Cricetulus griseus: one gene and its partners. The protein of the gene in region 3 purifies or fractionates together with the protein of the main gene of each other region. This does not show direct contact. Links are inferred from orthologs where the notes say so. Each region holds a gene or a part of one and is shown on either strand. Other genes may lie near its edges.

Region 1 (4,336 bases), on a different chromosome or scaffold from region 3:
AAGCGTTCAGGTACTCAAGATACATTACACCCATACCGGGAATCCCACTTACATTTCTGCTCATCTGGGAGGATTGGGAACCCTTCTTCATTGAGTGAGTTTTGTGCTCACAGCCCTAGGGCAACCCGGAACCCATGCCCTTACCCATCGTGCCGCAACCAATAGCTAGCCCGTAGCGCCAGAGTGCAGAGCGCAGGTCCGTGTAGCCCCGGTTGGGAGCCTCTGCAGGAACCCGGATCAGAGGTCGGGACAATGCTGCAACAGCCAGGGAGGTCCAGAAGATGCCCTGACCAGCGCAAAACAGTCCAAGGATGGCAAAGAAGCGGCCCCGTTCATGCTGGAAGAGCAGCACATCCCGTGGTACCCCACTTTGCAAATGCCGGCATACAGGAGGGGAACGTAGCACGGACAACAACCCGCTGACCCACTGCCGGCAACGTGCCGCCATGGCGGGGCACTTCCGTCTCTGGGGCGGGACTTCCTGTCATGACGCACTCTCCCACCCCTTCTGCATTGAGGGAAACAAGCCAGTAATGAGACACAAACTACAATATCACTCTTTATCTTAAAAAGTAAAGGGAATCAGGGGTTAAGTACACAGAGCACCTAAGTCCTTCGGGTAGTTTAGTGTCAGCTCTACAAAGTAAGCTTTGGCTTCCTGGCACCACGAGGCTCAATCTTCCAGAAGTCTTCTGTAAGTCTTCCAGAAGGTAGGTGAGGAAGATGAGGCAGCCCTCCCTCCTCAGTCACAGTTACAGGCTGGCCTCGGGCGGGACAGGAGATGGCAGATGACAGCCAGACAATATTATCCACGGGCTATTTACAAGGGGGCTTTTCCTGTGATCATTTCATAAACGCTACTTCTGGAATCTCTCCCTTGGCCTGCAGAAAGAAAGAGAAAAGGTGAATAGAGCCAGAGGACTCCTTTCCCACCTGCCCTGCCAGACCACGGGACCTGGAACTCTGTATAGACCAGGCTGGCTTTAAATTCAATCTGGCTGCCTCTGCCTCCCAACTGCTGGGATTAAAGGTGTGCACCACCACACCCAGCCTTCATGTGACCCTTTCCAAAGCTCAGAGCTCCCAGTTTACAGCCACACAATTTCCATGCTCTACCTTGAGATGAGTGAAGGCCTGAGCAGATCTGGTATAGTCCCAGTTGTTGTCTTGAAGGCACCTGGAGTGGGAGTAAAACAGGAAGAAGCCACGTGAGAACCAAAATGCAGTCACTCTCATCTCTCAAAAAAAAGAAAAGCCACTCCAGATTCCATCAAGGAGAAAGTCATCAAAGTTTCCTAGTAATTACATTTATACATTGTTGCACCACTTATACAAATGAAACATTAAAGTGTCAAAATGTCTAACAAAAATGACCAAAGTACTTTTACACTAGAAGGGAAGGATTTTCATGGCTTAAAAACCAAGTTGCTGGTAGCAAGATGGTGAGGCCTTTAATCCCACCACTCAGGAGGCTGAAGGAGGTAAAAGTCACTAAATTTGAGCAAACCTGAGCTATATAGTGACTTACAAGCAGCCAAGGACACAGTGAATGAAACCCTGTCTCAAAGGAAAACTATGTTGCAGAACTATACATAAAAGGGCTCTGGAACACTGTATGCACCTAATATTCCCAGCTCCCTTTGAATGATGAGGCTCACAGGACTTGGTAAAGAGCTGGTATCTTATTGAGAACATGTCTCAAAATGAATGACAACTAAGAAGATGACTGGGTAGCCAGGGGCAATGGCTCATTCCTTTAATCACACCATTCTGGAGGCAGATAGAGAGTTCAAGGCCAGACAAGTACATAGTGTGACCCCATCTCAAAACAACAAAAAGAGGGCCAGGGGAATTAGCTCAGTGGTAGTGTCTGCCTTGCATATATGATGTCTAGCTAGGTTCAATTCCTCATTCTGCCGGGGGAGAAGGGAGCAATAGGTAGGTGGGAGGGCAACAAGTCACTCTTCATTTGTGCTTTGGAACTTTATATAAATTATTTATGCAGAAGTCTTAGTAGGAATTTTTTTTTTTTTTTTTTTTTTTTTTGGTTTTTTGAGACAGGGTTTCTCTTTGGCTTTGGAGGCAGGTCTAAGAATCTTTTTTTTTTTTTTTTTTTTTTTTTTTTTTAAAGCACTGTTATTCACTGTCAGGCCATTTGTTCCCTCTTGGCCCTATCCATGCTCAAGACTCACTTCTGAGACCACTCGAGGTTCATGCCAGACTGGGTAGAGAATGCTTGCAACATTTCCTGTTGTTCTGGGGAGAGCGTGGGCACTGGGCTGGAGGAAGGTGTGGGTGCAGGCATGGCGAAGGCTCTTTGGATTTCTTCAGGGCTGGCATTCCGCACAAATAATTCATCATTTACAATACATAGCCTTGGGGGCAGAGAACACACTAAATAAATGAACAAATAACCTCACCCTTCTACACTGTCTCTGTTCTTAGATCTGTCTGTTCTTAGATCTGGTTAATATCCATATGCCCATCCCATGTTACCTTTTATCATTTATTGTTTTTTTTTAATTTTATTTTTTAAAGATTTTATTTATTATGTATACAACATTCTGCTTCCATGTATTATCTGCACACCAGAAGAGGGCACCAGATCTCATAACCAATGGTTGTGAGCCACCATGTGGTTGCTGGGAATTGAACTCAGGACCTCTGGAAGAGCAGTCAGTGCTCTTAACCTCTGAGCCATCTCTTCAGCCCTTATCATTTATTCTTGACTTCAGACTAGGTGTTTAGGAGGATTATCTCCCAAACACACTAGAATTATTATATATTCAGTCCTCAACCTACTGATAGTTGTTCTCAGGCTTCATGAACTTCCTATTGCTTTTCTACAATTCTGGTAACTCCCTGGGGAAGAATTCTTTCCAATTATCACACTGCTGGTCTGAGAATGAGACTCACAGGGTAAGCTGAGCACTTACCCTGAATTGCTGGCAGGAACAGCAACAAACGTTCTCGTGAACGCACGTAAAGAATCTCGAGACTTCCCATCCACTGCAATGAGAATAAAAGCAATGGTCCCTTAGAGTCACTCAGGCTTAATCTTTATAAAAGTTTCTCATATCTCAGCATTTGATACAAAGAATCCTAACTTGGCCAGGTAAGGATGGTTATTTGGACACAGGGGAACAGAATTAGGATAAAGGGACAGATCTGGAGGATAGTTAGTAGGAAGTAGGGGAGGCAAATTAGAAAGTGCTTAGCCCATGGCTTGGCAAAATATCGAAGTCACTTCACTTCCTAAAGCACCACTGTGCAAGAGTATTACAAGTCTCATCTAAAAAAACAAAACAAAACAAAAAAAAATTGAGGTTCAGTAACTTTCCCAGACCCACAGAATAAACCCAGGGCTGGAAAGGAGACCTGGCTAACTGACTCTTCATCTACTCTGTTCTGGTCCCCACATTTTTGTCACACTGCATCTAAGACAGGTAGGAGTTAAGATAGTCTGGATAAAACAGGAAGGTCAGAGAAGAAAAGGGATGAGAAGATAGCTGGGGAACTAAGGATACAGAGAAAGTTTAGGAGGACTCAAGATTCTTACCTTCCTTGAAGACTCCATTGACAGAAAAACATAGCAATGTGCTCTGAAAGAGAAACAGCATAAGCAATGGAGGTTCCCCACCAGAGCCTGAGCTCCTCACCTAGTGAGTGCTGAACCCATCACCCACCCCAGTTCTGGGCTTCTGTCAGGAGAACATATGCTTACTGTTTGGGCACTTATGTCTACCACAAAGGAATTGATATCATGTTGAGTTTTGGGTAACTCGTTGAGGAAGGCAACAACGTTGAGACGTGTATGCTTTAACAGCCGGAACCGCAGGGCTGCAAGCAGAAGGAAGAGAGCCCAAGGTTAGGACACACCTGCACTGGCTAGCTCTAATGACTATTTCCATTTGACTGACATACTTACTGGGATCTTTAAGCTTCTTCACATTTCTGCTGTCTTTGAAGTATTCAGCTAAGTTGCTTCTGGAAAATAGGAGGGGAAGATGGTGGTGATAAGAACTGTGGCCTGTATCCCAATGAATCCTGTGGTTATGGGTAGGTTCTGACACGTGACACTCACCGGGCAGAGTTCTGGGGGATGGAAGGAATGCTTAGTGAGCAACAGGCGCCATCATGGTAGGCATCCAGGAGACCCTGACGGTCTCCTGAGTCATAAATTGCATAGTACCTGTAAGGAAAGTGAAAGGAAGAGTCTGAGTTCTGTGTCTGAAAGCAAAGGGACACAGTAGTGAGCTATGCATAGGCCAGTAACTAACCCCCCACCCAAGGGGCTCCTGGGATACTCACTGCTGCAAGAAATGCAGGACCAAAC
Region 2 (3,571 bases), on a different chromosome or scaffold from region 3:
ATCTGTGGCAAAGATTAGGAAGTCCTCCTGGATGGGTGAGGGTGAGAACCACTCAGTGCCTGGACATGCTTCCCATTCTCTAGGAGCTATAGCCTACAGGGAGCCTTTTCTCTCAGGAAATCCCAGCCAGGCCTTACCCCCAAATACCATGGATGCTGTCTTGCTTTTTTTTTGTTAGAACCCAGATCATCTTACAGCTAAGGCCTCACCGTCAGTGCACCCAGGTTTTATATCCTGCAGGAGGAAGCCTGTGTGCCTGTGTAGAAAGAAGCTTTTGTGTTTGCAAAAGCAGGCAGGGGATGGATTCTGGTGCTGGGCAACCCTAGGAGCAGGGCTCACCGCTCCATCCTGTAGTACATAAGCATGAGGTTCCATTGGGCATTGGTTGGTGCTACTGCCCACAGTGCCCTGAGGAGAAAAGCCAGAGCTCAAGGAGACCTTGCATTCCGTGGAGCCACACCTCTCTGAGGTTCCTCACCCTCACTTGGGGTACTGGGATGTGGGAACACTTAGAGTGCTGTATCGGGTTTCCCTTCCTACCCCAAACCCAGAGAGATTCGTTCAGTACTTAACATTACAGTGAGATGTTTTTATATACCGGAGCCTCACAGTAAGCATCAACTGCCATTTACTCTTTTTTTGTCCACTCTCAAATTGTGTCTTGTTTAGAGCACCAGTTATGCTTTCCCTCTGGCCCTCCAGCTCCTCCATACTTGCATTCAGCCTTGATGGGAAGTCCAGTTCCTTTGTTTAGAAATATGATTCAAAATAATGGCCATAGCACACAACAAAGCATCTATTTTATGTGCCTTAAAATAACCTGGTTGGCTGGAGAGACGGCTCAGCAGTTAAGAGCACTAGCTGCTCTTACAGAGGTCCTGAGTTCAATTCCCAGCAACCACATTTTGGCTCATAGCCATCTGTAATGATATCTCTTCTGGACTGCAGGGATACATGCAGACAGAACACTGCATACAAAATAAGTCAATTTAAAAAAAAAAAAAATAACCTAGTTAGGGCTCAGTGGATAGAGCTGTTTACCCTGCGAGCCTCGTGACTCAAGCCCGGTTCCCAGAGCTCACATAGAGGTGGAAGGAGAGAATCTCCACTTTGTACAGTGGCCTGTGCATTCCCTGCCCCCCCCCATAATCATGAACATACATTTAAAAGAGAGATTTGGTTAGCTGTTAATGTTAAATGAGTAATTTTATGGAATTTTAAGTCAATGCACACTGGTACTAATTTTCAGAAATATAGCAGGAATTTGGCAGCCTCCATGTTAATCCTCATCCATGGCATTGCAGGTTCCGTGTGCTTCGCAGGCACATTGATCCTGGCAGTGGGTTGAATGTTTCTTTTACTCCCAATGCTCCAGAAGTACCCTCTGAGCATCTGTGTTGCTTGATGTAGAAAGTGGCCTTTGTAGCCACTGCCCTCTCCTAGAGGGTGGCATTTCATTCTGTGGGTCTCCTTGTTCTTTGTGGTCGGGGAGGTAGTGCTCTGGCATTGTCCAGAGTGTAGCCTCCACATGGCCTTGACACGGAAGTCTCTGTGTTATTCCCCAGGTGGAATTTGAGGGCCTCAAGCATGAAATCAAGCGCCTGGAGGAGGAGACCGAGTACCTCAACAGCCAGCTGGAAGATGCCATCCGGCTTAAGGAGATCTCTGAACGGCAGTTGGAGGAGGCGCTAGAGACACTGAAGACAGAGCGGGAGCAGAAGAACAACCTCCGCAAGGAGCTGTCCCACTACATGGCCATCAACGACTCCTTCTACACCAGCCACCTGCAGGTCTCCTTAGACGGCCTCAAGTTCAGTGATGATGCCGTCACTGCTGAGCCCAACAATGACGCTGAAGCCCTGGCCAACGGCTTTGAGCATAGTGGCTTGCTCAAATCCTCACTGGACAACAAGACGTCCACACCCAGGAAGGATGGCCTGGCTCCACCCTCCCCGAGCCTTGTTTCCGACCTGCTCAGTGAGCTCCACATATCTGAGATCCAGAAGCTGAAGCAGCAGCTGGTGCAGGTGAATAGGCAGGGCCTGGTGCTCCGTCCTTCCCTGTCCCCACTGCCTTTTGCAGTGCTGGCAGGCCTGCATGTCCTATGGAAGCAGTGCTGTTGTGACATGTGGCAGCTGCCTTTCATTTACTTGTACTGGTTTTAGATCCCGTATCTTTACCCCAAATGAAACTCTGTTAGTGAAGAGTAGTGTCCCAGGGAAGTAGCTTCCAGATTATTGTGTAAAGTTTAGTCCTAGGTGTCTATGTTGCTTCTCCCTTTGCTACCCATATCATGTCAGGGTGAGGTGTCATGGCCCCTTGTGTAAACTCCAACCATAGTCCAGCTAGAGTCTCAGCAGGGCCATACATCAGCACATCCCAAAGTTTAGCGTTGACCTAGGAAATGAGTGTCCTCCACAACAGGAGAAGGAAAGTGGTAGAAAGCTGGGACACTTAGGGAACCTGCCAATTTGCTCTGGAGTTCTATGTGTGAAGCCCAGCTTTGCTCCAACACATGTAGAGTGAACCTTTATGGGTGACGACTTTAGTTGGTGAATTCTGTCCAGTCCGCTGTCACTAGTGGCATGACCAGGGATTTTGCATAGCCCATGGCCCATCTGGCATAGCCCGAGATGTTGCTGGGCCACCTGTAGTCCTTTAAGCTTACTGACTATCTTTCCTGCTGTATCTCCCTTTGCAGATGGAGCGGGAGAAGATGGGCCTACTGGCCACACTGCAGGACACACAGAAGCAGCTGGAGCAGGCTCGGGGGTCCCTTTCTGAGCAACAGGAGAAGGTGAGCCGCCTCACAGACAACCTTAGCGCTCTGCGTCGCCTGCAGGCTGGCAAGGAACAGCAGACTTCCCTGGATAACGAGAAGGACCGTGATAGCCACGAAGATGGTGACTACTATGAGGTAGACATCAATGGGCCTGAGATCATGGCCTGCAAGTACCACGTGGCTGTGGCTGAGGCTGGTGAACTCCGGGAGCAGCTCAAGGCATTGCGCAGCACACACGAAGCTTGTGAGGCCCAGCACGCAGAAGAGAAAGGCCGCTATGAGGCTGAGGGCCAGGCCCTTACAGAGAAGGTCTCTCTGCTAGAGAAGGCTAGCCACCAGGACCGAGAGCTGTTGGCCCAGCTGGAGAAGGAGCTGAAGAAAGTGAGCGATGTGGCCGGTGAGACCCAGGGCAGCCTGAATGTAGCTCAGGATGAGCTGGTGACCTTCAGTGAGGAGCTGGCCAACCTCTACCACCATGTGTGTATGTGCAACAATGAGACGCCCAACCGTGTCATGCTGGATTATTACCGTGAGGGCCAGGGCAAGGCTGGCCGCACCAGCCCTGAGGGCCGAGGGCGCCGTTCACCTGTCCTTTTGTCCAAGGGGCTGTTGGCCACAGAGGTAGGGCGAGCAGATGGTGGGACTGGGGACAGCAGCCCCTCTCCCAGCTCTTCACTGCCATCACCATTGAGTGACCCCCGCAGGGAACCAATGAACATCTACAACCTGATCGCCATCATCCGAGACCAGATCAAGCACCTCCAGGCCGCCGTAGACCGCACGACTGAG
Region 3 (4,151 bases):
GCTTATTCTCTCTCTCTCTCTCTCTCTCTCTCTCTCTCTCTCTCTCTCTCTCAGTAAAATGAAATAAGATAATAAATTTGAATTTGAAACATTGGTAAAAAAAATAAAGAAATTGAAAACCTATAAATTGACAGCAGGAACATAAGAAAGTACAGTCACTATAGAAAGGAGTTTGAGGGCTCCTCAGAAAACCTGTTGTAAACTCAAGGGAATTAAAAGCAGACACTAAAATATTTTTACATCATTGTTTGCTACATTGTATGTATTGGGCAAAAGATACAAACAACCTAAATGTCAATCAGCAGTAAATGAATAAGCAAAATGTGGCATACCTAAGTATATATATATATATATATTATTATTCAGCCATTAAAAATGGATGACTCGCCTGGCGTTGGTGGCGCACACCTTTAATCCCAGCACTCGGGAGGCAGAGGCAGGCAGATCTCTGTGAGTTCGAGACCAGCCTGGTCTATAAGAGCTAGTTCCAGGACAGCCTCCAAAGCCACAGAGAAACCCTATCCCGAAAAACCAAAAAAAAAAAAAAAAAAAAAAGATGACTCTTAACACCTGCCACAACATGAATGATCTTGAAAATACACCAAGTGAAATGATCTAGACACAAAAGAACAAAATATAATATCCTACAAACATGAAATATCAATAACCAAATTCATAAAATACAAAACATAAAATACAGGTCACCAGGAGCACAGGAAAGAAGGGCCTGTGGCATTATTTCTTAGTGGTTACAGAACTTGTTTGGCATAACTTTTTTTTTTTTTTAACTACAAAGGGTTTTGGTTAAACAACACACTGTGTTAATGCCACAAAAGTGAACAATGAATGAAAATAGTTATGACAAACTTTCTTATGGTTGTTGCTCTCCAAGTTGGTCACTATCCAACCCAACCAATCTTACATCAAAAAGTATTTTTAAAAAATATGTTGGTAGCTGGGCATGGTGCACACCTTCAATGGTGCACACAAGCAATTGGGAGGCAAAGGCTCTGTGACTTCAAGGCCAGTCAGAAACAGAAAAAGCAAAACTGAATACATACAAATTATTTGCTTGTCACTGTTCCTAACAAAATTTAACAACTATTTTTATAGTATTAGGTACTATTATTTGAGTATGCCTTATTTGAAATGCTTGGCATTAATAGATTTCAGCGTCTCTGGGTTTTGCTTTTTTCCTTCAGGTTTTTAAGTATTTTCAAGCATATGAGATATCCTGGTGACAAGACCCAAGTCAATATAAATACATTTGTTTAATGTAGACTTTATACACAGAAACCTGAAGGTATTTTCATTTGATAATGTTTTGTGCCCTGGAACTTTGATTTTGACACATCAGAGGAAACTGGCTGTAAAATTTCCCCTGTGGCATACAGCATTAAATGAAGTTGAATTTTGTTTTGTTTTCCAAGACAGGGTTTTCTCTGTGTAACAGCCCTGATGTCCTAGAACTCACTCTGTAGACCAGGCTAGTCTGTGCCTCCCAAGTGTTGGGACTAAAGGCGTGTGCCACCACTGCCCAGCATTAAACATGAAATTTCTTAAGATCACTTTGGATTCTAGTTTTGAGGGGTTATTTTTATTGGACTGGATTATCTAACTCTTTCAAACTACCTAAGAAAAGATTAAAGGTAACAGAAAACTATGCTGTTTGCATAAGGGACTTGTGCATCCGTGCATTTTTGTATAAATGGACGATCATAAAACCCTTAGAGACAACTATTTTTCAGAATTAAAAAAAAGACAAACTGAACTGTGTGTTTGCAATAGATAAACTGAAGCTCGCTGTATTTCAAGGTTGCCCTAAATGTTTAACATGAATCAAAACTGTGTTTTTATTGATGAAAAGTCTATACTATATCAAATTACAGTTTAGAAATGGCAAAACCCGACTCTTCAACCCCAGAAAAACTGACTCTAGAGCCTCTGAACATCTCCACCGGCGAACCCTCTTGAAGAATATAAAATAATCATAAACACATGAATGATTTCAAAATTAGAAAAACAGCCACGGAACATGTTACGGGAAAACGTTAGCAACGTTAAGGCACAGCAACTACTGCCTGTAAAGAATTTAAAATTTCTGACCTTCTACCTTTAAGTAAAAGAACTTTTTAAAAAGCCAAGATAGCTTCCAAAGGAGATTTTGGGAAAGGCGATGTAAGGAGCGGGGCACAGCAACGGAAGACTCCAATTAAGGGCCTCCCGTGCGACGCGCCCTGCGAATGCGGCTGTTCGTCCGCTCCATGTCCACGGAGCCACCCGCACAACGGTAAAAGCCCCCCGCCGGGCGGCGTCAACCTCCCGGGCAGACACGGCCTGCGTCGCCGGATCTGTCTATCCCGGGGGCCGAAGGCGCCTGCCGCTGCCAGGCGAGCCCCGAAGAGCGCCCCAAGCCGGCCTGCCCCGCCGAGACCGAGGCAACGAGGCCCGAGTGAGCCCGCGGCCCGCCATGAAGAGGAAACGCGGGCGGCCGCAGTGCCCGCGCCTCCGGTGCTCAGCAGCGCCACGCCACGCCGCCCGCGGCCGCCTCCGCTCCAGCCGGAGCCGAGGCCGCCGGGAGCCATGACGCCGGCTGGCCGGCCGGCTGGGCCGGACCTGCTCACCTCTCGCGGCGACGGGGCGGAGCCCTGCACCGAGGCGATGTACCGCTCCACCTCGGCCTTGCTGCGCCTCATCGCGCCGCCGACCAGGCTCCCCGAGAGCGGGAGGCCAGCCCTGGGGCCTACAGCCGCCGCTGTCTCCAGGAGGTGAGCACCGAACACCGGTGACGCAGCTCCGTCGCGAACGGATGGGGGCGGCGCGTGCGACTCGCGTCATCACCGTGCGCCACGCTGCGGTCTGACGCGCCTGTTTGTCGCCTCCCGCCTTCAGACCACGTTACCGTTTTCTCTCTCTCTCCTCTCTCTCCTCTCTCTCTCTCTCTCCTCTCTCTCTCTCTCTCTCTCTCTCTCTCTCTCTCTCTCTCTCTCTCTCTCTCTCTCTCTCTCTCTCTCTCTCTCTCTCTCTCTCTCTCTCTCTCTCTCTCTCTCTCTCTCTCTCTCTCTCTCTCTCCTCTCTCTCTCTCTCTCTCTCTCTCTCTCTCTCTCTCTCTCTCTCTCTCTCTCTCTCTCTCTCTCTCTCTCTCTCTCTCTCTGTCTGTCTCTCTCTCTATATATATATATATTCCCCCCTTTTCAAACGAATGTGAATAACTCTTCCCCCCGGGAGGGGGGGTGTAAAAAACTCTTTATATATTTCATTAGTGGTACATCACAAAGAGGACCCAAAATGACAGCGCCCTGAGAGTCCGACCTTTTTGACGCTCCATCTAGTCAAATTTTAAAAGTTGATTTCCTTTTAAAGAGACGAACTTCATCATTGTCTTTTCGTTTCAACAGAATAATAGTTAATACTGGGCCAAGACTTTATGTTTGGATAAACCAAACATGGTTGAAATATTGGCGTTACATGGTGAGATGCACTTTTCCCGGCGTAATAGACCGTTAGGGGCAAAAAAGGGAAGTGATGGCTTTCCTGACGAACACAAACCAGGATCCTTAGATTTCTGAGGAATGCTGAATTTAAAATGTTTCTGGGGCTGGAGAGAGATGGCTCAGAGGATCAGAGCACAGCCTGTTCTTCCGCAGGTACTGAGTTCAATTCTTAGCAACCACATGGTGGCTCACAACCATCTGTGATGAGGTCTGGTGCCCTCTCTGACCCGCAGACATACATGCAGGCAGAACACTGTATACATTTATTTATAAATAAATAAATCTTTAAAAAAAATTCTAAAATGTTTCTGTTTCCCCGGGTGAGAATCGGGGCGGCCGGCCATCTACGACATTGTTAACAGCACTGCCGTTTGGGGTCCTGTTTTGTGACTTAACAATTAGCGGTAATAAATTATAAGTTATATTGGCTACTCCGAAGGACCCAAGTTCAGTTCCCAGCACCCATATCTGGTTGCCGACAACCACCCCTAACCAGTTCCGAGGGTCTAAATCTTTCACCTCTGTAGCACCCGAGCACACACGTGCTGAGATACACACAAACATTAAAATCTTTTTTAAACTAATAGTTTTGCCGGGCAGTGGTGGACCACACCTTTAACCAACCCCCAGCACTTGAGAGGCAGAGGCAGGTGGATC

What was found.
Region 1: the proteins of Ranbp2 (region 3) and Nxf1 purify together in Homo sapiens (co-immunoprecipitation; 5 studies listed by BioGRID and IntAct, with this or other methods). This does not show direct contact. The link is inferred for Cricetulus griseus from reciprocal best matches to the Homo sapiens genes RANBP2 and NXF1.
Region 2: the proteins of Ranbp2 (region 3) and Bicd2 purify together in Homo sapiens (affinity purification with western blotting; 3 studies listed by BioGRID and IntAct, with this or other methods). This does not show direct contact. The link is inferred for Cricetulus griseus from reciprocal best matches to the Homo sapiens genes RANBP2 and BICD2.

The regions. Positions count from the first base shown.
Region 1 is NC_048596.1:51,324,773-51,329,108, forward strand, and holds the end of Nxf1 (nuclear RNA export factor 1), read right to left. Parts: coding exon 4,312-4,336; intron 4,193-4,311; coding exon 4,085-4,192; intron 3,988-4,084; coding exon 3,929-3,987; intron 3,841-3,928; coding exon 3,725-3,840; intron 3,603-3,724; coding exon 3,560-3,602; intron 3,010-3,559; coding exon 2,937-3,009; intron 2,376-2,936; coding exon 2,193-2,375; intron 1,178-2,192; coding exon 1,117-1,177; intron 883-1,116; coding exon 844-882; 3' UTR 547-843; downstream 1-546. Other genes in the region: Tmem223 (transmembrane protein 223), read right to left, coding at 145-448.
Region 2 is NC_048596.1:269,183,239-269,186,809, forward strand, and holds part of Bicd2 (protein bicaudal D homolog 2), read left to right. Parts: intron 1-1,565; coding exon 1,566-2,027; intron 2,028-2,701; coding exon 2,702-3,571. UniProt on the Homo sapiens protein: Acts as an adapter protein linking the dynein motor complex to various cargos and converts dynein from a non-processive to a highly processive motor in the presence of dynactin.
Region 3 is NW_023276807.1:2,653,934-2,658,084, forward strand, and holds the start of Ranbp2 (E3 SUMO-protein ligase RanBP2), read right to left. Parts: upstream 2,810-4,151; 5' UTR 2,697-2,809; coding exon 2,625-2,696; intron 1-2,624. UniProt on the Homo sapiens protein: E3 SUMO-protein ligase which facilitates SUMO1 and SUMO2 conjugation by UBE2I. Involved in transport factor (Ran-GTP, karyopherin)-mediated protein import via the F-G repeat-containing domain which acts as a docking site for substrates.